7 linked regions of the Nothobranchius furzeri genome follow. The protein of the gene in region 1 interacts with the protein of each later gene in a pairwise test. Links are inferred from orthologs where the notes say so. Each region holds a gene or a part of one and is shown on either strand. Other genes may lie near its edges. The genes, in order: mbip, bfsp2, ppfia1, plekhf2, epb41l3b, mcm7 and txlnbb.

Region 1 (3,911 bases):
AAAGAAATATGTAATTATTCCTTCAGTCAGTGGCTCAGTTAAAACTCCATGCAAAAGGCTTTTATGTACATGTCACAGTGTCAAACGCAGCGGCGTCCCATTTAATGCTGGTTTGTTGGGTCTCCAGTATGTTTTCCAAACAGTTGCAGTAATCAGGTCATTTGTTATAATGACAACCATTAGGGCTGATCATCGTCACACAGCAGTCGGGAGGAGAAATCAGGTGCTCTCTCAGGGCTTCATCACCATCACACACACACACACACACACAATGAAATCAGTCTATTAAGATGTAATTATTTAGAGGGACACAATTGCTCATTTTAATGATATAAGGATTGAAAATGAACATTTCATAAACTAGCTTTTAAATTTTTACAGTGAAACTGTAAAACTGTAAGTTGGGTATTTTTATATTTAAACGTTACCCACTATGTGCCTGTAAGGAAAAATATCAGAAAAATCCTAATTTAAAGTATATTTCCTTAATATTGTCTCTAAATGAACAGATTCCAGGTTTTTGAGCAGGAAAAACATTTATTTACACAAGAAATATTTCTGTACAAATGAACAAGATCCCAATGAAAGGTTGTTTAATATAAATGAGATGAAGCGTCAGACTGTTTTATTACACATGCTGGTTTATAAAAACTCCAAACTAAAAGCATCAGTCAGCATTTACATTAATCAGAATACAGACACTGTTGCTGTTTATAGTCTAAGACAAACTAGATCTTTGCACTGGTTTTTACTGGAGAACTGTGATAACAGGTGAGGATAATTAAATAAAGCACATTTAATTCCAGAGTAACACCTCCGGCGTGTCTGTCTGTGCATCAGAGCGAACAATCGGGGCCAAATCTGGGTCCAAACTCACTCATCCTCTTCAGCAGCGCTGCCTTCACCGTGCTGATCTTCTCATCCAGCTCTGTCAGACTACAGGCCTGAAATAAAAACACGAGATCAGCTGAGCTTTCATAACAAAATAATAACAAAAGGGAATAAAAGCAGGAGGACGCAAACCTGAGCAGGAGACATCTTTAGTCGCTTGTGTAGATGTGTCTGAAACATAACCAAACATTTCAACTCAAGCGCTTTCTAAACGGACTCAGAATTCTAAACATTTTATAAAAGAAGCAGAAGACTTAAAGAAATTCTGATTTATTTTGCTCTTGTTTGATATTATCACAATAGAGGCTGTAAACGGAGCTGCGGGGGTTAGAATTCAGGGAACGACCTTGGGTAAACCTGAACTGCCTGAAGAACCATCATTTAATCCCACTGCAAGCACAAAACCCTCCAGTATTCCTTATGGAGCCGCGCCTCGCTTCACTGCCGAGTATTAGAATGTTGTTCCTGAAATCCTGGGCCAGCTGAGTGCAGCTTTTCAGCAAACACCAAACTACAGCGAAAAAACAAAAAAGAGAGAGAGAGGGAGGGAGGGGGATTCAAACATAAAAGACCCCCATCTTCATCCGTTTATTCAAAGACACTCGACATCTCCTGCTCTGCTCACACAAACATGCAGTGAGTCAAAAGCAGATGGAGAGCAGCGCTCTCACAGAAGCAGCGTGCTGTGCTGAGAAATACCAGTATGAAGAGATGCGCAGCAGCTCAAGCACACTTAGCTAGCTAACACACTGGACAGGCTGCTTTAGTTCACTAAATTAGAGTCTGGGACTCTGGTGGGTTCAGCATCAAGTCCAACAGCAGAGCCACACAATGGATCTCTGCAACTAATCGCCATTGCGTCGGACTCATTTGTCCCCCGTGACCTAAATGTGTGTCAGAGACGATCATTAATAAAGGGATAATCCAACACCCCCAGGCTGCAGCTGCAGGTGACAAAAACATTCACTAAATAACTGAAAGGGTTCTTGGGTTCCTCACACACGTCACTGAAACTTCAAACGTGTTCAAAAATGTTTTTGTCAAAACAGATTTTCTCTCTAATTAGAGGCAGATCTGTCGCAGGAAACTGGAATTTGTCTCGATGGGCAAAAGAAGAGAAACAACTTGGGTAGGAGTTTATGTACAAATGAAGATTTTACCTCCTATAGGAGGCCGACTTCTTTCAATGTAACATTTGATTCTATTCAACTTAGACTAGTTTTTTTTCAGAGCCCCGGCTTCAATACCAAGTGTTAAAAAGACATCACGACATAATTTTAGAAAAATATTCATTTCCTTAAAGCATTTGAACCACTAATGGTTTAAAGAGCAAGTCATCCCCAAATCAACTTTTTTTTCTGATAAACTATATAAATGCATGTCTAATCGTGCTGCAGACACATGTAGTCAACAGTTTAGCACTTTAGTGCATCTTAGTTAAAATTTAAATTTTCTGCCTAAAACTGTCAATGTTGTGCCGTTGTCAGGTAAAAACTCTGCACTGCATTTGAATTTAAATCTGCCATCGCTATTGGCTAAGAGGTACCCTAGGACGTTAGCTGGTACCATATGATGTCACAATGTCGTTGTGAGCCTGTGTGCATTTGTTAGTGGCTCCGCCCTCTCTGTCTGCTAGGCAACAGCATTTGTTGCATTTTTCAAACAGGAAGTGGGAGTGAAGTAATACTCTGGTAGGGGGTGACTTGCTCTTTAAGTTCATGAGCCCCAGATGAAAATAAAACAGCAAACCAAAGAAAAGCTCAGGAAGGTAATTAGAATACTTAAACTGAAACAAGAAACTTTGCAATAGTTTAAACTTTTTTGTAGTTACATCAAATACCTCGTGTGACTCAAATATAACTAAAACTTCTCACATAAGTGTAGCAGTTCAGTGGACTCTACCTAAAACAGCAGATATTCTAACTACTTATTACCATAGAAGCTCAAGATCACCTGTTGTTGTCTCTAAACCTAAAACCTGTTCAGACTTAAAATTTGCTTCAGGAATGTTGCATCAATGTACTATATATCTCCCTCATTCCCACATTATCACATTCAAAAACAAATAACTCACATAAGTTAAACCACCTAAAGGGCGGTCCAGACATCGTCTTTTACAAAAAATGACCAATGAAGTAAAAGTTACGGAGAAATGGAAGCAAACTGCTTTAGAGGTAATATCTGTGAACGTCAGGGGAGGCTAAAAGTGCTCCAAGATGAAGATTTGCACAGAATAAAAATCTAAGAGAGCACTGGTTGAATTTGCATTGAACTACATTATGTGAACTGTCATCATTTAAGTTTAGTTTCTAATGCAGATCTCTGTGCTGTAATGTTATCTGAAAAAGCTTTGTGTGTTTAATCCAGAAGACTCACCGTGGACTGAAAGTACTCAGGAGAGAGTCCCTCCAGCTCCAGGATTCGATCCTCCAACGTCTTCAGTCGCTGGTAGACGGTCAGAGGAACCGGACCCACTGAGGAATAAAACATAAATATAATATGTTCCATACACCAGACTGGGAAAAAAAGGACTAAAACAAAACCCAGAAAATAGGGAGAGAAATCATCGTGTGACAAGATTCTCCCCAAAAATATGTACGTAGTTATCATCTGGTGTTTTAAATCAGCCAATATTCAACATGACAAGGTGATCAGTCAACCCAGCACCTGAGAATCAGATTTTCCCCCAGTTTGTTCAAGTTAAAGACAAAAAAAATAAAATCTGTTTTTTTTTTCCTAGTCCATGAACACACCATCACTATCATTGGTTGGTTAGAGTAGTGAAAACTCAGAAATCAGTATCGGCCATAAAAATTAGAATCCGTGCATCTTTGAGTGTGATTAACTCTTTTTTGTGTGACTTAAGAAAAACATCAAGAATTTATGTTCTTGTTGATATTTTATAAAAAAAGGTGCTCATCATGTCACAATATCTATATTATTTGTATTGTACAGTTTTATTCAGGATGTGTGACGCATCACTTGTCTCTCTTCTCTCACCTGACGGCAGTTTCAGGTGA
Region 2 (4,504 bases), on another chromosome or scaffold:
AGTGAGACGGGTTTGGGTGCTGAACAGAGGCAGTGAGACGGGTTTGGATGCTGAACAGAGGCAGTGAGACGGGTTAGGGTGCTGAACAGAGGCAGTGAGACGGGTTAGGGTGCTGAACAGAGGCAGTGAGTCAGGTTAGGGTGCTGAACAGAGGCAGTGAGACGGGTTAGGGTGCTGAACAGAGGCAGTGAGACGGGTTAGGGTGCTGAACAGAGGCAGTGAGTCGGGTTAGGGTGCTGAACAGAGGCAGTGAGACGGGTTAGGATGCTGAACAGAGGCAGTGAGACGGGTTAGGGTGCTGAACAGAGGCAGTGAGACGGGTTAGGGTTAGGGTGCTGAACAGAGGCAGTGAGACGGGTTAGGGTGCTGAACAGAGGCAGTGAGACGGGTTAGGGTGCTGAACAGAGGTAGTGAGACGGGATAGGGTTAGGGTGCTGAACAGAGGCAGTGAGACGGGTTAGGGTGCTGAACAGAGGCAGTGAGACGGGTTAGGATGCTGAACAGAGGCAGTGAGACGGGTTAGGATGCTGAACAGAGGCAGTGAGATGGGTTTGGATGCTGAACAGAGGCAGTGAGACGGGTTAGGGTGCTGAACAGAGGCAGTGAGACGGGTTAGGGTGCTGAACAGAGGCAGTGAGTCAGGTTAGGGTGCTGAACAGAGGCAGTGAGACGGGTTAGGGTGCTGAACAGAGGCAGTGAGACGGGTTAGGGTGCTGAACAGAGGCAGTGAGTCGGGTTAGGGTGCTGAACAGAGGCAGTGAGACGGGTTAGGATGCTGAACAGAGGCAGTGAGACGGGTTAGGGTGCTGAACAGAGGCAGTGAGACGGGTTAGGGTTAGGGTGCTGAACAGAGGCAGTGAGACGGGTTAGGGTGCTGAACAGAGGCAGTGAGACGGGTTAGGGTGCTGAACAGAGGTAGTGAGACGGGATAGGGTTAGGGTGCTGAACAGAGGCAGTGAGACGGGTTAGGGTGCTGAACAGAGGCAGTGAGACGGGTTAGGATGCTGAACAGAGGCAGTGAGACGAGTTAGGGTGCTGAACAGAGGCAGTGAGACGGGTTAGGGTGCTGAACAGAGGCAGTGAGACGGGTTAGGGTGATGAACAGAGGCAGTGAGACGGGTTAGGGTGATGAACAGAGGCAGTGAGACGGGTTAGGGTCACATTTGAGTACATCGCTGTTTTTGTTGTTTATGGGTCAGCCGTCAGTGGACTAATAAAGCTGTAAGTTAATGACCTGGTTGGTCTAGTCATGGATGAGGTGGTCAACCAGGTCAGCGTTCATGTGTCTCACCAGCGCTCTGATGGACTCCGTCTCGGCCTGAAGACTCTGGATTTTGCAGCCAACATCACCACACTCCACCTTCAGTGCCTCCACCTGCTCCTCCTCTGGGCTCGAGCTGCTACCCACACATTGTGCCTCCTGCTGAAAACACACACACACACACACACACACACACACACACACACACACACACACACACACACACACACACACACACACACACACAGGTTAGATACACTTGTGAAGTAACCTTACAGATGTCTCATCCTTACCTTACACTCCAAGTAGCTGTCGGTCTCAGCTCGGTTCCTCTCTGTCACTTTCTCCCAGTGGCTCCTGATGTAGGCCAGAATCTGGTCCAGACTAGTCTGTATGGGTGCGTCAGGTTCGTCCACCTCCCGTCCAGCCATCTGGTTGTAAAGAGCGCGCACGTCCTGCATCAACAGGTGACTGAAGGTAAGCGAAGGGATCTGACACCCAGCTGCAAAACATTGTCCTAAATTTCTGTCTTTGATACAACCTGCTCATGGCTGCGTTCCAAAGACCTTAGCTCCGCCCTCATGTCTTGCATTTGCTCCTCAAGCTCCGCCTTTGTTATGTTTGCCTCCTCAATCACTCTGCACAAGGAGCTGATCTCCTCCTCCACAGCCCTCCTAAAGGGCTGTTCAGTCTCGTACCTGCAAAGAGCAACAAGTTACCAACTCCTCCTGCAGGTAGGCACATTCCAGCACCTCCTCTCAGCCTCCAGGGGGCACTGTCTGAGAGCAAATGAGCTAAGTCTGACTGAAGCTGCAGACTGGAGGTCATGGAGACAAGGAGACGTAGCCTAGTCAACTAGACCAAATTCTTGCTTTGCAAAGTTAAATACTACATTTATTTAGTCTGGCTTGCCAGACTAGAGGAGATGTTCTGGAGGAGGTGAATTTCAGACTGCAGCTGCTCTTATGGACATTCAAACTGATTGATCAGCTGACATCAAACACTGTCAGACCTTTCCCTGAAATCCTCGGCGCTAGCCTGAACGTTCTCAGTTTGCAGCATCAGTTGGGCATTGTCCAGGATGGCTTCGCTGACCTGCAGAGAACACAGGAACGCAGAGTGTTGACACCCCCTCTGTCCTCCCTCAGCCCCTCACCTTTCCTCCCATCCTTACCTGCCTGTAAATGTCCTCCCACTCTGCCTTGAGCGGACCCCAGGCCCCAGCACTGGAGGCCTTTCGGTCCAGACAGAGGCGAATCTGCTCTTCCAGCTGTTGGTTCAGCTGCTCCAGCGCTCTCACTTTGTCTCGATACTCCATCAGGGAGCTGTTCAGGCCTGCTGCTGCTCCACCTCCTGTAGCCCACTCCCCAGATCGAGGCACAACTGGTGTGGCACTACTCCTCATTCCTTGCAGGAACACACTGCTAATTCCCAGAGCCCTGCGGGACACTCGTGTTCCCAGTCCAGAAGATGTAGTTGAGGATGTGGGGCCTACAAAGACTCCATGGGGTGTACTGGTACTGGATATGCCCATCCTACCACAGGGGATAGACACTGGGCGATCAGCGGTTGGCTGTCCCAAGAAGGACGAGCGACGTCTGGCCAGAGGCATGGCGCTGAGGTCCCAAAGTCAAACGGCTCAGATCTGTTCACCACCGGGATTTATGGAGTACTGAACTTCTAGAAACATAGCTACTTTTGTTCAGGAGCTGTTTGTGCGGCAGCTGACTGATGGCTTTTGTTCCCGTAGAAACATGGAGTCATGATTCAGCTGCATCAGCACCAGGGCGGGGGAGGGGTGTTCTAGACTCTGGCTGATGGACACCATCTAGACCAGAGGTCTGCAGTATCTATGGAAACAGAAGCAACACTCTGAGGTTAAAATCACATTTCTGAAATCTTTTTCCCTCTTCCATAAATGCTCAAAATGCACAATTCTGTTTTCTATTGGTGGGTTTTAAAGTAGAAAATACTTTAAAATAGAACATGGGTGTTTTTTCTGTGGTTATTTGCAGAAAATGATTTAAAACAAAAACATAGATAGATTTACAAATAAAACAAGTACTTTAAGTGTCATTTTTGTTATTAAATTCAGTCAAATTAGTCCTTAATTAAGCTGACTAAACCTGCATTTTTTATTATAACTATATTAAAAACAAGAGTTACTTTATTTTTCACATCAAGAGCCAAAATGGAAGGTTCATAGAGCCACTTGTGGCTCCAGAGCCACAGGTTGCAGACCGCTGACTCGCTCACCCTTCAGCCCCCATGAGAGACCTGGTAGTTGTGGTAACTCTAGCAGCTGTGCTGGCCTTGGGGCCGTGGTCCTGCATCTCCACTGGACCAGGAGACCACAGATCCAGCCCCGTACCCTCCAGCTCTCTGGAGCTACAGGAGATGCTGAGGTTGTTGACAGGAAGTGGTGAACGCTAACGCAGCCACCAGCAGTTTCCAGCTTCTACTTAGGTTTCAGACAGTTTCACAAGTGAAAGGTCAACCAGTCCACACGTTCAGTTCCGTTTGTTCTACAGCTCCAAATGACCAGAGTCGTCTCAAGGACCTTCACGCAGTAAATAACACAGGTCAGGTCATTATGTCACACACACACACACACACACACACACACACGCACACGCACACACACACACACACGCACGCATGGCGCACGCACGCACACACACACACAAATACACACACACACATATACTGACAAACACACACACATCCAGACTCGGGATAATCCCAGATTTAATGTGAGGAGAGAAAAGCAGCTCATGGAACGTGACCTCTGACCTCCGCTCGTTTTGATCTCAGGACCAGGTTGTGTTTCCTCTTTTCTCACATGTCATTTAGCTCATTTCATCCATCCATGCTAAGGGTCATCTGAGGTCAGCTTCCTGCATCTGGGTCTTGTGGCGTCGGCATCAGAAGACTGGCGTCCTCTCTGCTCACACGTGACATCTGCGGTCTCCACGGATGGCGCCTCATATCTTATAGTTACATCATGCAGAGAGACGAGACACGTCTGGTTTCACAGACCGACAGGATGCTGCTGCAGCTGCCGCTGGTTCTTATCTGCACCTGAGTGAGCTTGAAGATTCACAAGGCCTGCCACCACATCCAGCCTGAGTCTGTTGGCTCCACAACCATTTAAGGGCATTTTTAGTCTTTCTTTCTCTTTCCCCTTCTGCTCAGACTGTAACAAACATGGAGGAACATCTGAATGGAGACATGACTTTTTTA
Region 3 (4,313 bases), on another chromosome or scaffold:
GATCATTTATATACATATATAAAAAAGTAAATAATGGTTTCTCGATAAACTTGGTCTTGAAGAATTTCACAATTACAGAAGCTGAGCTGCAAAATTCTTAAACTTTACCAATATTACATTTTTACTTTTGGTAAGACAAATGTTGTGTGTGTTTTTAACATCAACGTATTTAATATAAACTTAATGTTTTGAAGTGGGTTGAGTTTAGGGCTGAAATAAACCATACCTAGATTGTAGAAATCTTTTTTTTCAAAGCCTTATTTTAACTTTTTTAAATTAATTCACTTTTGCAGCGACATAATAAACGCTTCTAGTTTATCTAAACAGTTTTGTCATCTTTGTTCATTAGGACCAAAGTGTAAATCCTCCACATTTACAAAAAAAAAAAAAAGTTTGCATGTTTGTTAGGATTATTAACCTGAGCCTCGGATCCCCACAGGAACTGGGAATGCTGCTGCTGCTGTTCCTTTTCCTCCAGCCAGCCGGGAAGCAGCGCTCTCCTCCCGCAGACCGTCAGGCTGTCCCGACTGCCCAGGCTGGCAGGCAGTGGCGACGGCAAAGGACACGACTCGCGGACCGCTAAAGTGGAAAACACCGAAGAAACCTCTGAAACTTGGACATAAACCACGAATGTTTAAGTTTGGATTTCCCAAACGGACCAGGAACGTCGCAGACAGCTCGGTGTTGGCTGGAAGTTTCCGAGTCGAACGGAACGCAGCCGGGATGTGGTGACGAGACTCCACCGGGAAGCTAACGCTAGCCGGGAGACAAACACTACATCGGTTTCTTAGATCTCAGGAGATCTACTTCGGGATTTATTGTTTTAGAAATCAAATAGTGCGTTTTGTGTCGCACATTCTATAATGTTATGTACTTTTATATGAGATTTAGCTCAAAAGTTACTAAATTAAATTGGCGAGCGTTAGCTACCTAGCAGGCTAGTAGCTGCCGACTTTAAGCTGACTTCAAGCCAAAGATTTCTGTTTCAAATTAACTAGCTAGGCTGCAACAGTTTCCACGTCAGCTGACTCCATCAGCACCCGTGGGCCAGTTAAGAAATGCTACTTTTATCGAGTTTTGCTTCATATTTTACGGTGGCCGTTTGTCTTGTGACGCAAAGATAAACACTTGACTTCCAAATTCAGGTATGCGATCTTCGAATCACCAGCTCTCTTATCAGCTAGCATGCTAACGCCAAGTTAGCCGGCCAAACTTGGGAATACTACCCCCTGCTCACTTTGTGGGTTTGAGGCCTTAAGGAAATCATCCTGTTTTTTCTTCCCAGAAGACCCCATTTCAGCCTTAATCTTGGTGTCTGAACGGGATTTACATGTTTTAAATGACTGGATGTTTCAGAAGTCTCTGAAGGCTGTTGGATTTGTTTAACTTCATTTACAAAACGTGGATTTTAAAGAGTTTGGATTAACGCTAAACTGCAAAGGTGAGTCCAACAGTATGGTTTATGTTACTTTGTGCTGTCAGTCACTTTATTTTAGTAAATTCGACAGAACTTTACATCTTTGTTTGGGTCAGAATGATCCAAGTTTGGTTTATCTTGATGTAATGATGAATAACTCCAGTACTGTTCAGAATCCCACCCCCCTCTCCAGGCCTTTAAAGTTGGTCTTTAACATGTTTGTTTACTTCTTCCTGACTATTCTCAAAGAAATGGCATCACATAGTTTATTAAACCACTTTAGTCTATAAATTATGCAGTTAATGAAATACTTCTTAACTCAAATGATGAAGCAGAGTTGTGTTGATTCATTTACTTTGTTATCCCTAAATCCTGACCTATGGTAGATGTCCACCTGGAGGATCCATGAGAGACCTGAAACTACTTCATTCATCGCACACTTTCCCATTTTTCCACAGACTGAGAGCTCTTCCGTAATCACCTTGTTAGAATATAATTTCCTGTGTTTCAAATAAACAAAAAGTTCTTAAAATGGTACACCACGAGGACTGGGATTAAGTTAAAAAGCAGCCAGTTTGAGAAAGGTTGATTTGGAAAATGGCTGCACTTGAGTTTGACTGCTGGGAGGGAAATCTAGGGAAGAGGCCTGAATTAAGAGTTTTCAACTTTACCTTAGATGTCAACAGTTGGCTAGGTCAGTGATTCCAAAAGTTTGGGTCGGGATGCTACTACAGGTTCTAGGTATTACACCCGGGGGTCGAGATGATCTTCAGAACTCAAACTAAAGAATAACTTCTGTTTACTATCGCTGATGTAAAAGCCTAAACAAATACGAGGCAAACCATTTCTGTTTATTTAGCCTTGAAGCCGTGTTTGGGATTGTGAGTCAGAGTCGGAGGTGTTTGGGCCTACGGGTCTGGATGAAGAACACTGATAACTGGTTAAAGGGATTTAAGGATAATTGTTCCTCCGAGTCTTTGATCCAGGTTTCGATTTGTTATCCCTAGTTTTTTTGTGTCTCTCCTGAATTGCTCACCATCTGTCACTACCTCTCATTGATGCTGAACGACCCTCCCCCATACAGCTGATTCTGAGTGGCTTGACCTCAATATGACAACACTGGTTCTGCATTTTTGCTTCCAGTAAATTAGGTTAAGTTTAACTCAGAAACCGTGTTTATCACATGAAACTAGCTGTTTCTGATAAGAGCTAATTAGGAATGGCAGATTGAGTTTTGTCTTGTTAATTAGCATGTAACAAACAGAGTGCTGCTGAGCTCTGGGTTCACCCAGCTGGATGCATCCTAGATGAAGAAGCCTTTCGGCGGCTGGAAGAGTCAACTGCTGGAAATATTAGCTCTCCAAGAGTTCCTACAGGACTTGTCCCCATTCCTAGGTTGTTGTTCCGTGTAGGTGTGTTAAATCCAGCTCACATGATTCCTGGGCAGTGTGTCTGGCTTTGGTCTACAGACTGTAAGCCCCTTGGTGTTCAGGCTGGTAGAGGTTGGTAGCTGCAGCGTAGAAATAATCACAAAACCTCCAGGTTTCTGATTGGTCACCTGTTTGGGTTAACCTAAAGTTGGCTCATAAGCTTCCCTCCATCCCAACAGCCTACTGGATATTTTCTTTAGCCACCTGCTTAGGAAACAACCTGCTGAGACCCTTTCTGCTCAGTCTTTAAAGTTTGCTGATTAAAAGATTTGGACCTTTGAACTTGTGTGATGCTTTATCTCGGATGTGTTCAGACAGGTTTGTAAAAACAGTTGGTTTTAAACCAGAACTTTTATCAGCCTGAGCAGTTTGTCCTCTGACCTGTACCGGCTGTTTGGACGTGAGCTAATTTACAGTCAATGACTATTTTTTTAAAATCTTTTCCCATTTTTTTCCAGCCATAATTTACTTTCATAATCTAATCTAATATATTAGGGCAAACCTCACAGATGGAGAAAACCTGTCTCTGAACTGCAGCAACGGCTTTGGAGCCGCGACCTCTGACGGAAGGCCCCTCAAACCCACAGGGTCACGTTTTTAAATGAACATCTGACACTTAAGTTGTTCAAAGATACAAAAACCAAAGAAGCAGCCAATCACCTGACTTGACTTCCAGATTTTCATCTTCAAACTTTAATTCTGTCATTTCTCTCTACCTCTGGCTGCAGATGATGTGCGAGGTGATGCCCACAATCAGCGAGGCCGAAGGGCCTGGTGGGGGGAACGGTACTGGGCGCCGAGGCTCCGGCTCTCCTCTGCAGTCAGACTCTGAAGGGCACTTTGAGTCGTTGATGGTTTCCATGTTAGAGGAGCGGGATCGCCTTCTGGACACGCTGAGAGAGACTCAGGAGAATCTGGGCCTGACCCAGAGCAAACTGCATGAAGTTAGCCATGAAAGAGACTCGCTGCAGCGGCAGCTGAACACTGCCTTACCTCAGGTCAGTCCTTATGCAGAAATAGCATACCTGCATCATTAATAGTCATTCATTTAAAGGTTAAACTCCTGTTTTCTCTTGTCAAACCTTATTGGTGTTGGGTTTGGGTCATGAAACATAAGAATTTTCAAATCGGTTCATTATTTCACTTTGTGTAATCACCACTGCTCTTAGTTGCTGCTAACCCATTCGTGCAACCTGGTTGTTTAAGAGCATAAACATAAATAATTATGGTAATTGTTTTTAAATCAGGGAAATCCTGGAAACTGGTTTGAACTCTTAAAGCAGCTGGAAGCCGGTGAAACATAGATGTGGATTTTCATTTGAACATTATAAACAACTATAACTGAGGCAGCGCTGCAGCCATAGCAACACTTACCTTCAAGTGTTTCCCATATTCATCTGGACATTCCTCCTTAAACTCATTTGAAACTTGGATCAAAATATATCCCTGTCCCGCAGATCACCCAT
Region 4 (4,311 bases), on another chromosome or scaffold:
CCTCCGTTTCCAGCTCTGTCTCCGTTTTGCTTATTTTCTGACATGCAGACAGGGGGCTGCCATCTTGGAATCATGTGATCAGAGAAGGCGCTTCGATTGGCCACTAGAATAGTTCAGCTCAGCCGGCAGCTCAGTAGTGCGCACACGGTGAGTTTCTACCCCCCGTGAGGCGGAAAATATCTGAATGGTCAGATATTCGTCTCAGCTTCTTGTGAGGTGGAAAACTCAGTGAAAATCAGGTGCACACGGCGAGCAATCTGCTGAGCCAACGGTCATTCGAGGCCGTTTGCTCTGCAGATTGCTCTCGTGTGCGGCAGGCTTAAGATTCCTGAGAATGTTTTAAACATAACTGTGGGCATTCCTACCTCATTACGCAAATGAAGAGGATCACATTTAAAACTGTGTCATTTAAAATGCAACACATTGCAACAGAGGCTATGCTAGCTGTAGAGTAACATGCCACATCCTGAAAGACCACTGCCTTCATTTGTAAAGCTAGAATGCAAACAAACATTAAAAATACAGCCTGAAAATAAATTGGCTTTAATACAAGCATTGAAGTTTTAAAGTTTGAGTACATTTATTGATGTTTTTTTTGTCTGTTTGTTTTTTTGCATCTTCTGCTTGAACTCCTCTTTGGTGGTGGGGGTCTTGACTACTACTGGTAACAAAAATCACTGATTTCATTTTACTATTTATATATAATTTAGCAGAAATTACAGCGGCATGTTATTAATGCTTGCTGTTACCAAAGGTGCAATATGTAAGGATGAAGTAAGAATGACATTCTGTCACCAGATTTAGGCACTGCAACCCATTTTTAGAAACAAAAAGCAACTCTCACTAGAAAAACTGTCATCTATTTTAAAAGCTTGTTTTCCCCAGAAAATCTTGTTAATTTTTTTTATTATCTAATCATTTGTTACCATGTAAAAAAAAAGTTGAATAAAAAAAAAAGAAAATCTCAACTAGGGAAGAAAATGAAATGGATTTCATAGGGCTCTAATTTTACTACTTTAGATCCTTAAAAAATAGAAAGTTAAGCTTGTCCCCCTCTGACACTGGTGCGGGTGTAAATATTTTGCAATGTTGTGTTTTCATCTATGACTGAACGACAGCTTGTCTCACCTGGTTTCATAATAATCTTTGCAATAATGTGAAGTCACAGAAACTTAAAAAAGAAACTGAATTTGAAAGAGAAGTAGAAAATTCTATAAGAAAATATATAAATAAGAAAAATGCTACAATTTTTAATAGACACATACTTTAAAGAAATGCAAACTTAGAAAAATTAAGGGGAAAATACAAAAACAAATGAACTATTTCAATCTAAAACAATGTTGTGTGCAATAGATATCAAATAAGTTTTATTTTTATTTTATTTTTTTACATTTTATGTTTAATGTTTCACTCTTCTTTGAGACAGTGTTAATGATTTAAATAGTATTGCTCTAACCTAAAATGTGTGTTGCTGTAAACAGATAATAAACTCAATACCACGGGGACAGAATATGTGTAAATAAATGTTGCTTTATTATGCCCTCAGTCATCTGAAGCTAATGGAGATTTTATGCACTTAGACACAATGAAGACATATCAAACTTCCCTTTTTTGTGGTAGAAAACTCGAGTACACACGTCCACAACTGTGTTGCGATAAGGTGGACTCCCAACTGCCCGAATAGTTCAGTTTCCATTTGTTACCATTAGCCAAGACACATTGAAGTTAGTAGTTTCTGCCCAAGTATTTCCACCTAAACTGTTCAAGTGTTTCCAGTCTGTCCAGCACTTCCACCAATTATTGAACGTAATTATTCCACAAACAAGTTAAAGTCTTATTATCAATGCCTCACGTCTCAAAGTTCAATTTACTTTTCAACTTTTTGTCCAAGTTGGCAAAAGAAAGTGGTGCCCGTTGGCAGACTTAGCTAGCTAGCTCAGACGTTAGCTTCCAAGCACTTCATACATTTTACTTTAAAGCTAATCTTCACTCTTTTTTGTTCGGTTTTGAGTGAAAAAGCGGTTCCCAGTTTCGATAATCGATAAACATTTAGGAGAAAGGAAAAGAAAAGCACCCACACAACGCGGGCTTTTACAGGCTATTAACATGAATGAGGAAAAAGTAGCTGAAACCCACGGAACCAGCTTTAGCCAAAGAGTTAAAGTATCATCAGTCAACTTATAAACCCAAAGAACTACATACCCGACGGTAGCACTCACTGTGAAATAGCTTCTGCAATAGATCTAAAGTTCTGCTGTATTCCAGGTGATATCGGTAAAGTAGTAAGTCTGCCTCGAGAACTGACCACTGTGTCCGCAGACACCGACAGCAGCTGGAAACTCCGTGGATAAAACAACAACATGGCAGCGTTAAGAAGATGCGTTCAAGGGCAATCTAATGGCTGGTAAATCCGAAGTGAAGCTGTCTGTTCTGAGAAGCAAATCATTGCTGTACTTTTATTTGGGAAGTCATATTTTTGACCTATTTCGAAAGAAAAATAATCTTTTCCTTCTTCCAAGTCGTGTAGTGAAGTAGTTCGTTTTTTTGATTATTCCAAGGGACAGTGAAGGCATCATGAGCAAGAACAGAAGCCAAGTTTTTGGGAGGAGACCTGCCTGGGGTTCAAAATAGTAAACAAGATGGTACATGTTGTGGCTTTGTAGGAAAAATGCACTGACACCTTAACAAAAAAATGAAGAAAATAAAGCACAACGGTTTCCATAGTGTCCACAAACAACAGGAATGGGAATAAACTCCCCATAATTTACTTTCCCCCTCTTAATGCCTGTGGCAGCAAAAACTCTACCCTTAAGCTAGGACGCTGCTCATCTGCATCCAAACATTCAAAATTCATTTAATTCAAACTTTTAGGGAAACACTACTAGATTTTGGCTTTCCCCTTTAAAAACTGAAAACATTTGCACTCATTAGTTGTTTAGCACCCAACTCTAGTTCATAACACATGCTGTTGTTTTAACCCCATCATTTTAAATTCCTGGATTTAAATCTCAGTTTTTATCAGCAGAGATGGTCTGCAAGTATCAAATTCATCAATACAATACACAACATAAGTTGAACATACATTGCATTATTATTTTTTATTTATTTTATACTTTTACAGGCCAAATCTGCTTCTGGATTCATTAGTTTTTGGGAACTATTTTAAAGCGTGTAGAGCACATTTACAGTTGGATCATTCACCACAAACTAGATCTGAGTCTGTTTGCTTCCTAAAACTGGAAGACGGTGCTCTTATCAGTTCATCCAAACACCCAAAGAGAGTCAATGTGATTATTCACTTGCATCATCAAAGCTCTTAAATCTGCACCGAGACACCGGAGGAGATTAGATTATGCCACGATGCTTAGAGCAACACTAATCGTGTATTAGAAAACCACTGTGACCTTACAGGGTTGGTCAAATATCCCAACACTTCAAATGAATGAGTCCGAGAATATTTCCACACTGCTGGAATGTCAGAGAGTTTGGTGAAGGGTGATAACAATTTATTTAATTACCCAAAGGAGAAAAAAGGAAGTCATTCACTCTCTAAACCAAATATACATGCTCTGTTTTGGTTTGGTTTTACACCACAACAACTCCTTTGTTTAATATTTCTTTCATCACAAGTAAAATTCTATTTCTTTGACCTAACGCTGCTTTTCTTCTATGTTGGGTTCATCCAAATGTACCACACACCAAACGGATTACTTGTTGTGGAACATTAGCTAAAATTAGAATATCCCAATTTTTGGAAGTGATTATTTGCTCCAAAGTTTATTATAAACCTGTTTGTCATTTTATACATCACCTTGCACTGTTTTCCATTTCCCCTCTGCTAAAAAGCTGTTTCCATCATTTACAACCACCCTCTACTGATGACTAAACATGTGGCCTTTGGTTCACCTCCGGTTAACTGAAAAATGCCTCATGGAGGAGTGCAAATCTCCTCTTTATGTAAAAACTAAGTAAATTCACCTGCATGTTGCTGGTATCAAATAAAAAATACCAATATTTTTATTTAAATACTTATTTCTATGCAATTAAACTTTTATTTAAAATAAGAAACTAGTTAGTGTTGGCTTCAGCTGATGTGTACACTTTTCATTCTGACCTTTTTTAAAGGTTTCTAGCAATTTATTTAAATTTTTTTCCAGATTTACTTAATGACAGGTTGAGCCTTGAAACAACCAACTCTCTCCGTGTGAATGCCAGTATTACAGAAGCAGAGAATATTCCCATCACCGCAGGGTTTCCACCCTAATCCATCCCGAAGCTCATTTTTGTTTTTTCTCATGTTCCACAATTTAA
Region 5 (4,497 bases), on another chromosome or scaffold:
TTTGTCTTAAGAATATTAAGCAGAGGTTTAAAGGCGATGGGGGTAAAGGGCGCTTGGGGATTGACGTACCTTTGAAGTGTGCAAAAAACACAAAATGGCGTACTTGGACCAAAATTGCAGACTTCCTGTGGGATATTGAGCATGGCTTCAAGAGGGTTTTTTGTAGGTCCTGAGACATTACATAAGTGTGCAAAATTTCACAATCCTCAGTCAAAGCATGGCTTGGGGCTGGCACTTTTAAGGGTGCTAGGGGGCGCTATTTCAAAGAATTGGCCACCCCTACTAATTTTTGATGTTAAATTTCATTACGAATCATACTAGGATCACTAATGAGAAATTTTGTGGCGATAGCTTTAGAATTGACAAAATGAGAGGCAAATCGTATGGCCATGGCTTTACGCCTGACTTCGCCGCGCCATCACAGCCGCGCTGTCTTTCGAAAGCTCCCATAAAGTGAGGCCAGGCAACCCCAACTTGTCTCCAGTTACCTGCTATAAGTTTGTGGTGAGTATACAAAATGGTGAATTTTGGGAAATTTCATAGTAAAACTTGGCCTTTTTAGTCTTGAGGGGGTGGGGCTTGTGTGACATCATCAATCCACCATTCAATTTTCTTTGGGGGACAATGAGAAATGTCCATAAAAAACTTTAACTGTAATTCTTTCATTTATGAAATTATAGCCATTTGAATTTTTTTGACGAGTGCTCGAACTTCGAGGCCTGGCCCCGCCCCTTCAGTATTTACGAAAAGTCAATTTTATTTTCTCATTTCAACTGTCCATCCCTTCTGATCGATCGCACACTATTTTTGAGACGATTGTGCGAAAAATTACCAAACTGTTCAACCAAATACTGACCCTACAAATGACCAAAACGAGGTCAAAATCGCTACTTTAGCCCAAAATGGCCGACTTCCTGTTTGATAATGACCAGGGTGCAAGAGGCTTTTATGTGCGAATTGTTGAGTTCTACAAGTGTACCAAATTTCATCACTCTACGATAAAAAAGGGTCAAAGCAGAGGGGTATTTTTAATTTTCAAGGGGGCACTGTCGAGCCACTTTTTTAGCAACCTTCACATCGCCATTGAAATACATAAATTTCAGGCACGTTCTGTATTGGGATAGAATTTGGTGAGTTTTTGGATATGGTAAGACCCCCAAAAAGCCATTTGAAGGCGCGGAAGAAAAAAAAAATAAACAGAGCAGATATAATAGGCCTTCGCAGCTTCGCTGCTCGGGCCTAATAAAGAGTATATTGGTAGATTTTATTAACTCAATCAGTGAAATAGGGTCAAAAATCTCATAAATCTGGGAGAGATGATTGTTTATGATTGCATATCTAATGTGGTATCACCAAAAGGGATGATGTGAACAAATTTATCACCTGTGAAACAAAGTTTTGCCCATTTTTAGATCACTGTCACTGAGACAAAACAGAGATTTATCTAATCAGCTCAACAAATGTTTTATAAACAAACTGGATTAACAATCACAATCTGGTTTAATGCTTGTACAAAACATTTGGAAATTAATCAAGTGAGACACAATATAAGAACTAGAAATTGTACAGATTAGCAGCACTGAGAGCACGCTTAGGATGACAAACAGCTACTTATTTATCTCTAAATGTGCTTGTTTTTAAAATAAATATCAATACATCTGTACAGACAGGAAGAACAGTTATAAAGACGGCCGGCTTCATCCAGATATGACCTCTCTGGCACGTTTTCTGGACTTTGTCATTGGACGCTGGCAGTATAAAGTCCAGCACGTTTAAAATCTCCCACTTAAACCTTAAAACTTTTACTTCGGTTGTAAAAATGCCACTAAATATAGAAAAATTTGGTAATTTAGAGGATTTTTGACAACTAAACCCCCAAATGTCATGTTAAACTCCAACAATGAGAAAACAGAACCATCAGCCTTCTTATTTAGCATATAAAAACACAACTGTCAAGATAAAACAGCCTTTGTTGAACTATCTGGACCCACATTAAGCTCCATGGTGATGCTGTGAGATATGCTCATGAAGGAGAATATTACAACAAAGAGCTCTTCTTTCCCTGATTCACTGATGCTTCAGTTTGAGCAGACCCCAGAGGAAATCCACGCTGTGACAACTTCCCATTTCTGAAAGGTCAGCCTGTGCCCAGCACCGTTTTCTTTTAAATGAGGTATTTCTGCACCAGGGTTTTAGAAAAAAGGATAGCATTGCTGTCTCAGCAGTGAGAAGCAGAAATTGGTTAAGATACTTCCTGAGACAGAAAATAGAAAAGTTGATAATGATTATACACGTTTGACAGGAAACAATCAGCACTTTTAAAGAGACTTTATCAGATCGTGGAGCAATTAGTTTGTTTTTAAAATAAATCCATTTTAAAGTCACGATTAATTAGTTAAAATTAAATAGTTAAAAGAAATATTCCTAAAGTGTATGTCACTTTAAAAATCAGCCTTATTCAAAGTGCTGACCAAAGATGAACGGCTGCACCAAACATGTTTAAAATGTGAGTCTGTCATATTTCCAGATTTTTAATAAACACGTGAACTCACCGTTTCGTGTCCCATGTCGCCAGGAAAGCAGCAGGTGTCACGTTCAAAGCCGGGCGATTTAAACGGAAAAACAAATGAACCCAGATGTTAGTTTTATGCTAATGCTGTCAAAAGTGCTCAAACCCACTCGCGTTTTAGCTTAAACGAAGCGGAAGCAACACATAAGTACGAGTAAACACTTTACCTGAGCCCGCGGGGACACAACACCTCCCAGAACACCAGCTGTCACCGAGTTGCGTCACCGGACTGACGAGGAAATCCCGACGCCGGGCTCGTCCGGGTATAAAGGACCGAACACCTGTAAGAGCTCGCTTTGGTAAACCCCTCTACAGTGTGCTAAACCCCGCCCCTGCCGCCTGAAAAACCAGGCCCAGTTGAACACCTCCGAACGCCCAAAAAAAAAAAAAAACCCGTCTCAAATAACACAGGGACACTGCCACCCACCGGTGGCCCGCGGGAGGACACGCACCAGCAGCAGATAATCATCTTTATGTCACATGACCACAAGGTGGCCGAGTGAGGTTAGATATTAAGGCAGTCCGTTGCAGCATATAATCAAATACCTACCATGTCTGTTGTCTTCACGTTATCAACATCTGCGTTTCCTATTGTCAAAATTACATTTCCTAAGTCAAAAGCAAAAATTTGAAAAGTAAATTTGCAGATTTAAGAATGTAAATTTAGTATAAAATGCAAATGTCATCTTTTAATTTTCACAAAGAAAATCATTACTTTTAATTTGCTGTTTTTCATCTGAGGCTATACTATGGTGAAGGTAACTCTAAAAGAGATATAGGAAGTATGCAAACAATGAACAACATTTGTTAGGGAATGTTTTAATACTTTTATATTCAAACACTCAAATGCATTTTACTTTTTGTAATTTAGTTTATGTATTAGGTTGAATAAAACAAAATGTAACAGACATCAACTTGTTGCTTAATTTTCTGAATGTACCAATTCAATGCATTGCTAATGTACTTCTATTAAAAAGTATTTGCAAAAAATAACTAACTGCACATTTTGTATCAAACCATCAAATAAATATAGACTCCATTGTTAAAATAAACTTTAAAGCTTCCTAGCTTTGTTGAAAATTGTTGAGGTTGACCAAAACGAAAGGCAGAGTTTAATAGAGAAACAAGCAAATGTCTGAGTACAAACCATTTTGTGAAATGGTATATTTATTTGTAAACAAATGATCTCATTTTAAGTATAGTAATGGGTTACTTCACCAGCATCATCACAGGCCAAATGATTTCTCAGGATATTTGTATTACTTTAATTCACCACCAATCTAAATGAGCTAACTGCAAAGTGTTGTAAATTACTCTGATAACAGTCTGCTGCTTTCAGTTCAGTAAGCTCATGACCAACATGAAAGGCCAACATAAACAGTGTATCAACAGGAGCCATTACTTCAGTGCAGATTAGGATCTGTGCAAATTTAAAGGAATTGGTATACATTTGTTGAAGTGACATACTTTGCAGTACTTCTGCATATTTTGCCTCTTATAGAGAGCAGAGTGGGCTCAGTTTAGAGAATCAGGGAGAAATTATTTAGGTGGACTCAAGCTAAGAGCTGTTTAGAGCAGGACTGGACTGGATGGCACGTTTCCAGACTGAATTTCTTCCACCAAAAACAGCTAAAATAGAAATATTCCTGAGCAGTTTGAGCATTACCTTTCTATGAGCAACTGTTTATTTTTTATACTTACTAATTTCTAAACTAAGCATCTGTTTTTCTGTGTATTGCATGCAAATAGGCTAATAGCTAAAGCTAATAAAACCAAGTGATCCAACAAAGAATGACTTTTCTGGAGAGCTGCAGAAAAATCTTCTTGCACAAAATTATCTAATTGTCCAAGTAAGTGGACTGTGTGTCTGTGTGCTTATCTGTCTGAGGTGGGGTTTTTTTCATAGCAAAGCTACCCTCTCTGTTGAG
Region 6 (4,572 bases), on another chromosome or scaffold:
TCGCTGACAACAGTTGAGATATAACTGAGCATTACAGATTTTTTTATAAGTATTAAATCGTCAGTTAGTCTACAGGAATAACAAAGTATAGACGGGGCACACACAGGGCGACAGTGGCACAGAAGTGCTCACCCTGTAATCGGAAGGTTGCAGGTTTGAGCCCTGCTTAGTCCATCGCTGTGTCCTTGGGCAAGACATTTAACCCACCTTGCCTGCTGGTGGTGGTCGGAGGGACCGGTGGTGCCTGTGTATGGCACTCGCCTGTGTCTGTGCCCCAGGGCAGCTTTGGCTTCACACCAGCAGCGTGTGAATGGGTGAATGACTGATTGTGTTGTAAAGTGCCTTGGGGGGGACTCTAGAAGGTGCTATATCAAATACAGACCATTTACCTTGTGATGTTCACTAGGTCACAGATGCCTAATGTGAGGCCCACCAAGCAAGGAACAGCCTCTTCCTCCCAGTCTGCACCCCCTCACGAGCAGGAGGATCTGAATTCCCACCTCACCATGTAAGACTGGTCTAGAACTAAAGGGAAGATGGTTTTTGTGAATAACGTTTTAACTCTTAAACAAGCTAATTAATCTGTTTGCCACTTAGGCTTTCTCTGATAGAGGATGACATTTCAGAAGAAGAGGAGCCTGAGATTGAAGATTATGAAAGTGACCTGGAGTCTGGATACACACTGGTAAAACAGCAATACTGATAGATCTTAGCTTTAGTAATTTAGGATTGATTTGGATAAAGGAAAACTTTGAAGATCTGAGTTCAATTGGGATTTGTGGAGTTATAATACAGTCTGAAGACTTGATTTAAAACTATGTGAATAAAATAATTGTATTCCTGGTAAGATTAAACAGTCAGTCTCTCCATTTTCCCCCTAAAGCCCTCAACACGCCACACCTCTGCCAGTTTCCTGGATGAGCTCTTTGAGTGATGTACTGGAACGCTTCCACCATTTTCAGATGCCATTTTTATGTTATCAGTGTTTGAAGTATTTGCATGAATTGAAATCTCAGCCACCTGTTCATCCCTGTGACTACATCTTTATCTTCATGTTATCTGACTTGCTGCAGTTTGCCATTAAATGATTGAATTGTTAATGTTCTGATGAAAAGCAAAAACTGATATTAAAAATGTTTAGTACAGTTATCCGAATGAAAGCTAAAGCTACCTATTTTGAACACATTTTTGCTTTGTTGATGTGTTTTTTATATAATTGTTCATAAAAAGTGAAGTATTATCGGTTCGAAGTCTGTAATAAAATGGAAAAGCGAGTTAGTGGTGACAATTCATTCCAAAATTGATCATCATTTTACTCCGTTTTTGAGACACTTTTGATGAGTGTTTCAAAGCAGCCTGTGTCTGCATGCACTCTGCTGTTAACGTGTTGAGTTGTTTGTGTGTAACATACAATAAATAACACCCATTGTGATGAGTTGTGTTGTCTTTAGAACATTTCGCGCCATTAGTGGAAAACCCCGGCGGAAGTTTTCATAACCATGTGACACGCAGCTTCCTGCGATTTTCGCGCCACCAAAACGTCCCGCCCATACTTCGTGAAAGATGCGACGTGATTTGCTGCTGGCCGAGGAGAGTGGCGCCAGTTTCTACTCTTGAGACCGGGAGAAGTTCTGGCTGCATGTGAATGAATTCAAGTCTCCGGTGCAAGAAATTTGCTAAACTCTTAAGTAAAAACCTCGTTTAGGTACGTGGGCACCTCAAGATCTCGTTTTCAAGTTATTCGCCTGAACATCAACGTGTGCTGCCATGGCTCGTAAAGATTATCTGGCAGAGAAAGGTAAATAGTTGTCTGTGTGTGTCAGTAACAGCATGGGTGGTAGCAACAGGTTGGACTGAAAGTCTTAATAAATGTTACCTATATGAAGTATGTGTCTTTCAGAGTTGAATTACATGTTCATGTCCTGTTTCAGTAGTTTACGTCACTAGCGTTTTTAAATATTGCCATTTGAGTTAGATAGAAAATTACCATTTTAAATATGTGTACGAATATGCGTCATTTAGCAGCGATGTAATGGAAGTACTAGTTAAGTATTTCACAGTGAGTTTGTTAACGTTGGGTCGTCGGTAACCAGTTTAGCGTTGTCTGCTCTTTACTACCCGGTGACCCGGATGGATCCTTAAACAAAGGAAACAGGCGCCACTGTGCAAGCACATCCGGGAACGCGCACACTATCAAGACGTGTAGAGTACATAAGTAGTCAAGGAACGAGTGCAGACAGTCGGACCTTTCAAAAACTACTTTTGCAAAGTTATACTCTATGCTGTCGACGTGTGTCGGTGTAAAATAAAATGATTTAGTTTAGGGGTAATCTATGTGGTCGGGAAGTAAAGGAAAATCCTTCACCCAACTATGTTGTACTTTTTGTCAAGTGTCCGTTAACGCACCGTCTGGGCTATATTTTGATTTTACAGGGTTGAACAGTGCTGTTAGCTTTTTCGTTACTAGCTAAAATGAATTTTAATACTGATATTTGCTTCCAGCTTATTCGTTTTCAGCATAAACGATTATAGCTTTGGTTTATGTTGATCACTCACATGGGTTTGGAAGGGCTCTGTAGCAATATGTGGTGTATTAATGAATCGTATACACGCGTAGTTCCTGAACGTAGTCGTGTTCCGAGTCTAATTCAGCGAACGCACTAACCAGCAGCAATTTCTTAGTCGTCATAAACGTCTCGTGGTAAGCATTAAGCAAACCTCCTCTCGCCGCTTAGTGATTCTGTCATCAGGACATTAGAAAAGGCAGCGCAGCTGCTGCGTTCACAACTCTAAGCTAACCTGGGCTAATGTTAAAAAATGGCTGGCCACGGTTTGAAAACAACAACCGGGACTGGTTCTAGGAGCGGAGGAATCGCGGAGGGATATCTCCAGTGACTGGGCACAAAAGCCATGTGCTGCTTTGTTTACAATAACATCCTCGAACATGGAAATAACCCCACGACGCAGCAAATTTCCTCTACGGCGGTAAAGTAAGTGGAATATTAAGTTCAGTTCGAAGGCTTGTTCCGTCGCCCGTGGCGCCTAGTTAAATATCGTTGGTAGTTGTGGCTCCTTCGAGAAGTGAGGGGGGATATTTACCAGAGGAAGGGGAAAAAAGGACCGAACTGAGCGCGCCTGTTGTGTTTACGTTCCCACCCCGGGGCCATACGCTGCGTAGTACTTGTTATTTCACTCTAAAACTAGGAGACGAGACTCACATGAGCGACATTCGCTCCATGTTGAGCCCCAGTGACAGTTTATGTTGAACTGTAGCAATAGTGACTCATCGAGATTACAGGATGCCGTGTTACTCAACAAAGGGGGGCTCGTCGTAGGACAACAAACTAGCTCCCAGTGTGCAGGCCCTCTGCTGTTGGGTTTAATACTGCTATTTTAGGAAAGGGACATATGTGAACGTGGCCTTTTTATTTAGTCTTGTAAAGTGGAGCTGTTGTGTTTTTGTTTTCAGAGAAGTGCAAAAGGTTTCTGCAGGAGTTTTACACGGAGGATGACGATGGGAAGAAGGTGTTCAAATATGGAGTGCAACTTGTGAGTATAGTGAATGCTTTTTACGGAAAGAGGTTTTGTGATGTAATTCTGTTTATCTTCCTGCTTTGACAACTAGTTTGTGTTTTGTAACTAGGTTGTTTCTTTTTTGTCTCGTCGTTCTATATCGTAGTCATTTGTTGTTGTTTTTTTGTTTTTTTTTCTCACAAAAGCACATGTGTAATTGTTTTCTGAAGCTTGACTAATTATTTGTTTTGTGTGTTCAGGTGCAGCTGGCCCACCGGGAGAAGGTGTCCCTGGTTGTTGAGCTGGAAGATGTGGCTGAGGAAGACCCAGATCTGGTTGAGAGTATCTGTGAGAATGCAAAACGCTACACAAACCTGTTTGCTGACGCCATACACGAGCTGCTGCCAGAATACAAGGAAAGAGATGTATGTAGATCTTAGTTTTGAGTACATTTTTTAAATCCGCTTCCAGTGCATTTCAGATTTTTTATCTGAAGGAATTCTAAAAAGATACATTTTGTGCTTAGATTGTGGCCAAAGATTCCCTGGACGTGTACATTGAGCACAGGCTGATGATGGAGCAAAGGGGTCGTGATCCGGCCGACACCAGAGATCCACATAACCAGTACCCACCTGAGCTCATGAGGAGATTGTGAGTAGAACCAGATTCGTAATTTTCCTTGTGTGTTGGGGCTTTTTTCACTATAGTGGCTTGTTTCTGCAGTGAGCTCTACTTCAAGTCTTCCAGCACCTCAAAACCCAAAGTGGTGCGTGATATCCGGGCTGACAGCATTGGCCATCTGGTCACAGTCCGAGGCATCGTGACCCGCGCCACCGAGGTCAAACCGATGATGGCTGTAGCTACGTACACGTGTGACCAGTGTGGTGCTGAAACCTACCAACCAGTAAGATCTGGTAAAACCACTCAAGTTTTGATGTAAGATTATTATCCTCATGATGTCCTCCTCATGCACCCACCAGATCCAGTCCCCCACCTTTATGCCTCTGGTCATGTGTCCCAGTCAAGAGTGTGTCACCAACAAATCTGGAGGACGACTCT
Region 7 (4,452 bases), about 1.1 Mb from region 1:
GTCTTCTGTCAGGTCGATGTGGTGATCCTCGACCGGAGATGCCTCGGGACCGGTGGGGGCAGTGCTGCTCTCCTGACAAGCCTCCATTATTCTGAGCTAGTAGCAACACAAAGGAGACAGTTGCCTCTGCACGAGAGACCAAAAATAAATCATTTACAGACAGATCACGGCTGCTCTGTCTGTTATCTCACAACAAAAATGCTTTGATCACTTTTTCACATAAAAAAAAATCTGTTTTCATCGTTGAATTAAACATCATATCTGAGGTTTTATAGAAACAGTCTCCCCATTACAAACAAAAAACATGTTAGGATTTTTTAATATTAGTGTCACGATCTGCCCCTGCCCAACCTGACTGTGTTCCTCTCCTGCCGTGATTGCCCTTATTGTTCTCACCTGTCCCTCGTTTACCTGCCCATGTTTCCCTAATTAGCGGTCCATCATCTCCACCTCCTACACCGTGACAATTAGTTTGTGTAGCCACATCTGATTTATTTGTACAATTTAGGCCACTTTAAAAGTGGTTTACTGGAAAGAAAACCATAAAAGATCATAAAAGCGGGGGTTCCGCTTTTTGAAGTGTTTCTCTTAAAAGGCCAAAAGCAATGAATATCTTACATCCTCCATAAAGCCTTTTGGACAACATCAGTTAGGACGGGTGGACATTGTGTGGCTTTCACTCGTAGCATTCAGCTCCATCTCAAACTGGATGACTTCCTCGCAGAGCAAAGCTCACATGTTCTCTCACTGTACTGTTCACACTGTATGTGTGCTAGCAACACATCGGAGCTAAAATATGCTACAAATAGTCGTTTTTACGCAACATGTCAGACTTTCGATTTCTAAAACCTGTTGTGTTGTTACTGGTGGGTTTTTTTTCAGCATTTATTTGGAAAAATGAACATATTCAAACTATGTTATTAATGTGTGTTATCCTTCGGGCTTGCCATAGAAGGACAACATGGGGTTTATGGGGGTTTGAGAAGGAAGACAAAAGAAAGGAAGTAAAACAATGTTTTATTTGGCATAAAACACACTTTCTTGACAATCCTTGTCACTGTGTGTAGAGAAAAGTATAAAAATAAGTAATACAGCTTGAGTTGATACGAAAATAGCTGACGAGCCGTGTTGGTGCATGCGCTGTGTGAGCAGTTCTGGTACTTTTGGCTCGCAGCGCTGTTCCAACAGTGTGATAACCTCACGAGGGATGAGGAAAATATCAAACATGTTTGATATTTGTGCAATTACTGATTGGGAGCTGGTCGTGCGGTGCTAATCGCCTCTCGTAATCCCTGTATACTACTGGACACACAACACCAAACTCGCCTCAACCTCAAAGATTCTCACATGAGAACGCCTGGCTTTAAGAGGAACAGAAATTATCTCTGGTATGACAAACAAGCTGGTCTACCGTAGCCTTTTAAGCATTTAATTTCAGAAATGCTAAAGCAGCTAGTTTCTGCTGCAAACCACCAGAGTCTTATGTAGTTAATTCACACTAACTACTGTGAGGCTTTTGAGATATTCCTAATCAGTCTGTGACTTGCCCCACTGAGATCAGCATTTGTCCAGTCAGAACTCATCTCTGCTTCTCCAAACTGAGGTTGTTCAGTGCTATCCACAACAGCTACAGTATCCAAACCTGTGATGTTTAAGAGCAACAACGAGTACATTTACAGCCTGAATTTTTGTGTGTTTGATGCCTAAATTAGCAGCACTTAAATGATAAAGAAATCTTCAACTATGTAACCTGACATTAAAATCAACACCTTGAAATTCAGTCTAAAAACCTCATATCAAGTGTTTTTCCTCCATTTGAGCACCTTGCAGATCCTAACAAGATTTACAGAGAAAACTGGTTGGAGATTTCACATACATATTGTTGAGTGAAATCATAACAGATTAATCAGAATTAAGCAGATTCCACCACCAAGAAGCTTTTCTTATTTAAATATTCTATGCTGCTGAAGTTGTTTTTGTTTATTAGACTAAAAACATAACTTTGGTGCACATTTCTTTTGCAGAAACAGAAATACGCACCAAATAATGCTCTAGATGAAATATCTGAATGCCTTTTTTTTATATGAATTTCAATGTCTTTGCAGCAGCGAGGTGATAAACCCGAACAAAGCTTTCCTGGTGTAGTAAAGTCCATCATGCTTGTATCTGTGGAGTCGTACTCGCAGCCAGAGCCTGTTTAGATGCATATAATTAGCTTTCACAAGAAGAGCAAATGGCACCTGTTCCAGACCCACAAGCTATTTTAGGAACTTCTTAATATGGGCATGTTGTTTATTATTTAATTCTATTCCACTCTTTTTTTATGTCAGGGTCAGTGTTTCTTGAAAACATCTTTTTATTGTGGTTAAACTTCAAATAAAGACAAATATCTCTGATCTTTTAACGCTTTTATAAAGAAGTACATGTTAAAATGGAAATTTTACAGAGCTATGTGTAGGAAAACTCTTTTAACTATGCAGCGTTTCATTAGAGGTTAAAATGTTCCCTTTTCTCTCACCAGCAGACAATTTTAACTTCTGACAGCAAATGACGCAGGAAAGTCTCACTGCAATTAACAGCATCTCATCTTCAACAGACTTGGCAAACTCCAAACCGCCACTGGAGTCAGTCCCACGTTTGTTAGACGTGTGAGACAGATGTTAGGAAACCAAGAATTCTATGTTATTTGTGTGCAAATATCAGAAAAGAAGCAGGGTAAAGAGCAGGCAGGGTCTTACCAGGACTGAGGGCCAGATGGGGAACAGAAAGAGTGTGGAGGGGCTCGGACAGGCGGCCACCACTGATGCAACAGCTGTGATAAGAGCCCCTCAAAATAAACCAGGAGAGAGCAGCTCACTGCTCAGAGAGGGAGGACGCTCTGCAGCTCATCTCTGCTGCAAACCTCAGAGTAAAACTCGTTATTTGGTGTTGCACCTTTGCTACTTTAGATCAACGCAGTGCTGATTTAATTTTAAGCTTCGCTCCTATTAGTCATGAAAAGAGACTGAGCAGGAGAGAAGAGAAAACGCTGTTTCTCAGACTGGCCTGATAAGCCTTTCTTTCAGTTTTTTTTATTTTTTTACACAATCTGCTGATTTTGAGCTGACAGTTAAATTCTGAAAGCGGCTGAAAACTATCTACAAGGTGAACACTACTTTTGGAAGCACCCATTTTATTTTACCTCCACGCTGCAGCTGCAGTATTCAATTTTCGCCACCAGATGTAGCTATTACAAGTTTCACACTGGAGATATTTTTTTTCTGCCTCCCTAAAGACAGAAAGTGAATGATGGGCTCTAATTTAAACAGTTGTGAACCGCACAGGTGGAATGATAATGAGAGACCGATGTAGTTGGGGAGGGAGATAATCCAGCATCATTATCCAGCTCAGCACCATTGAAACTGAATATTACTCTCAATAATTATATTTCACGTTGTAAAAAGTAATAAACAGACCACAAAAAATTCTCCTCCTTCTGATTATATGAGATTAATATCTGTTGACAGGGCCCAATGTCTAATTTAATTCTTTGATGTAGGAATCCATTTTCTAAACGTGGGGAAATAAATATACCATATCTAAAATTGAAATCATCTTTTGGGGGGGGGGGGGGGGGGGGGGGGGCACCGGTGCATTTCCAGGAACCAAAAGTGAGCCTCATCACAGCTGTCTTATTTTCTGACATTTGGACATTTTACCTCAGATTACTTAACAGCAACGCACCTCTAACACTGACTGGCTTTTCTAATCCTTGTTTCACCATAGCAGGACATATGTGTGGGAGACTATTTTCATGTTCAGCCAGCATAACTTAGTGACTGATCAGAAATAATAATAAAAAATATGTTTTCAGAGTTAAGGTTATAAATCTGGCCACGTGCAAAGTAGCAGCTACGCTAGGGAGATGAGATTCTGCGCCGACGTCATATTTGCAAGTTTGCAACTTCTGCTTTGTAATTTTTTTATTTATGACTTTTTTAAGCAAATAAATCTCAAATTACGTGACAGACATAGTCAAAACACATAATTATTTATCATTTAAATTGAAGTAAAACATATTTGTGATTCAGTGCGTAAGCTAAAGCGGACCAGGAAATAACTTTGACAGCCCCGTTCACTTATGTTCAGTTTTTGTTTCAGTACCTATTTGTTAAAATTGTAATAACACAAAGCAAATCTGTGTTTATTATAATGTATTTTCCTACTAAATATTTGTAAATTTATAGTTTGAAAGGGATTTCCAGTTCGCTAGGCTAGGCTAGCTGTTAGCTGTGCCTGCTCCAAAACAACAACAATTTGTGGACATTTAGCTTCTTTTTTGTTATTTTAATTTCTATTGTTTGTGATGGTATCTGTTAATGACTGTAACGGTCACTCTACTTTTAAAAAGTGATTTTTATTTGCCGTTATTTGGAGTAAGTCAATGTCGTTCCACCACCAAAAGTGAAACTG

Evidence for each region.
Region 2: the proteins of mbip (region 1) and bfsp2 interact in binary tests that used the Homo sapiens proteins (3 or more experiments, as listed by UniProt). The two-hybrid records come from large-scale screens. The link is inferred for Nothobranchius furzeri from reciprocal best matches to the Homo sapiens genes MBIP and BFSP2.
Region 3: the proteins of mbip (region 1) and ppfia1 interact in binary tests that used the Homo sapiens proteins (3 or more experiments, as listed by UniProt). The two-hybrid records come from large-scale screens. The link is inferred for Nothobranchius furzeri from reciprocal best matches to the Homo sapiens genes MBIP and PPFIA1.
Region 4: the proteins of mbip (region 1) and plekhf2 interact in binary tests that used the Homo sapiens proteins (3 or more experiments, as listed by UniProt). The two-hybrid records come from large-scale screens. The link is inferred for Nothobranchius furzeri from reciprocal best matches to the Homo sapiens genes MBIP and PLEKHF2.
Region 5: the proteins of mbip (region 1) and epb41l3b interact in a two-hybrid assay, tested with the Homo sapiens proteins (2 studies listed by BioGRID). The two-hybrid records come from large-scale screens. The link is inferred for Nothobranchius furzeri from reciprocal best matches to the Homo sapiens genes MBIP and EPB41L3.
Region 6: the proteins of mbip (region 1) and mcm7 interact in binary tests that used the Homo sapiens proteins (3 or more experiments, as listed by UniProt). The two-hybrid records come from large-scale screens. The link is inferred for Nothobranchius furzeri from reciprocal best matches to the Homo sapiens genes MBIP and MCM7.
Region 7: the proteins of mbip (region 1) and txlnbb interact in binary tests that used the Homo sapiens proteins (3 or more experiments, as listed by UniProt). The two-hybrid records come from large-scale screens. The link is inferred for Nothobranchius furzeri from reciprocal best matches to the Homo sapiens genes MBIP and TXLNB.

Annotation. Positions count from the first base shown.
Region 1 is NC_091758.1:21,132,757-21,136,667, forward strand, and holds the end of mbip (MAP3K12-binding inhibitory protein 1), read right to left. Parts: coding exon 3,892-3,911; intron 3,366-3,891; coding exon 3,268-3,365; intron 1,403-3,267; coding exon of another isoform or gene 1,388-1,402; exon of another isoform or gene 1,265-1,387; intron 1,063-1,264; coding exon 1,024-1,062; intron 945-1,023; coding exon 837-944; 3' UTR 600-836; downstream 1-599. UniProt on the Homo sapiens protein: Inhibits the MAP3K12 activity to induce the activation of the JNK/SAPK pathway. Component of the ATAC complex, a complex with histone acetyltransferase activity on histones H3 and H4.
Region 2 is NC_091751.1:33,756,847-33,761,350, forward strand, and holds the start of bfsp2 (phakinin), read right to left. Parts: upstream 3,091-4,504; 5' UTR 2,874-3,090; coding exon 2,436-2,873; intron 2,357-2,435; coding exon 2,274-2,356; intron 1,960-2,273; coding exon 1,803-1,959; intron 1,717-1,802; coding exon 1,555-1,716; intron 1,424-1,554; coding exon 1,292-1,423; intron 1-1,291.
Region 3 is NC_091749.1:65,289,423-65,293,735, reverse strand, and holds the start of ppfia1 (liprin-alpha-1), read left to right. Parts: upstream 1-1,300; 5' UTR 1,301-1,441; intron 1,442-3,575; coding exon 3,576-3,845; intron 3,846-4,313. UniProt on the Homo sapiens protein: May regulate the disassembly of focal adhesions. May localize receptor-like tyrosine phosphatases type 2A at specific sites on the plasma membrane, possibly regulating their interaction with the extracellular environment and their association with substrates.
Region 4 is NC_091745.1:67,587,049-67,591,359, forward strand, and holds the start of plekhf2 (pleckstrin homology domain-containing family F member 2), read right to left. Parts: upstream 2,866-4,311; 5' UTR 2,220-2,865; exon of another isoform or gene 2,203-2,219; intron 1-2,202. UniProt on the Homo sapiens protein: May play a role in early endosome fusion upstream of RAB5, hence regulating receptor trafficking and fluid-phase transport. Enhances cellular sensitivity to TNF-induced apoptosis.
Region 5 is NC_091751.1:43,055,802-43,060,298, forward strand, and holds the start of epb41l3b (band 4.1-like protein 3b), read right to left. Parts: upstream 2,900-4,497; 5' UTR 2,737-2,899; exon of another isoform or gene 2,553-2,736; intron 2,513-2,552; 5' UTR 2,472-2,512; intron 1-2,471. UniProt on the Homo sapiens protein: Tumor suppressor that inhibits cell proliferation and promotes apoptosis. Modulates the activity of protein arginine N-methyltransferases, including PRMT3 and PRMT5.
Region 6 is NC_091741.1:79,972,138-79,976,709, forward strand, and holds the start of mcm7 (DNA replication licensing factor MCM7), read left to right. Parts: upstream 1-1,656; 5' UTR 1,657-1,767; coding exon 1,768-1,798; intron 1,799-2,197; exon of another isoform or gene 2,198-2,990; intron 2,991-3,469; coding exon 3,470-3,549; intron 3,550-3,773; coding exon 3,774-3,938; intron 3,939-4,039; coding exon 4,040-4,164; intron 4,165-4,236; coding exon 4,237-4,417; intron 4,418-4,493; coding exon 4,494-4,572. Other genes in the region: cohesin subunit SA-1, read left to right, coding at 407-508, 598-685, 884-934. UniProt on the Homo sapiens protein: Acts as a component of the MCM2-7 complex (MCM complex) which is the replicative helicase essential for 'once per cell cycle' DNA replication initiation and elongation in eukaryotic cells.
Region 7 is NC_091758.1:20,072,738-20,077,189, forward strand, and holds the start of txlnbb (taxilin beta b), read right to left. Parts: upstream 2,862-4,452; 5' UTR 2,739-2,861; intron 127-2,738; 5' UTR 88-126; coding exon 1-87. UniProt on the Homo sapiens protein: Promotes motor nerve regeneration. May be involved in intracellular vesicle traffic.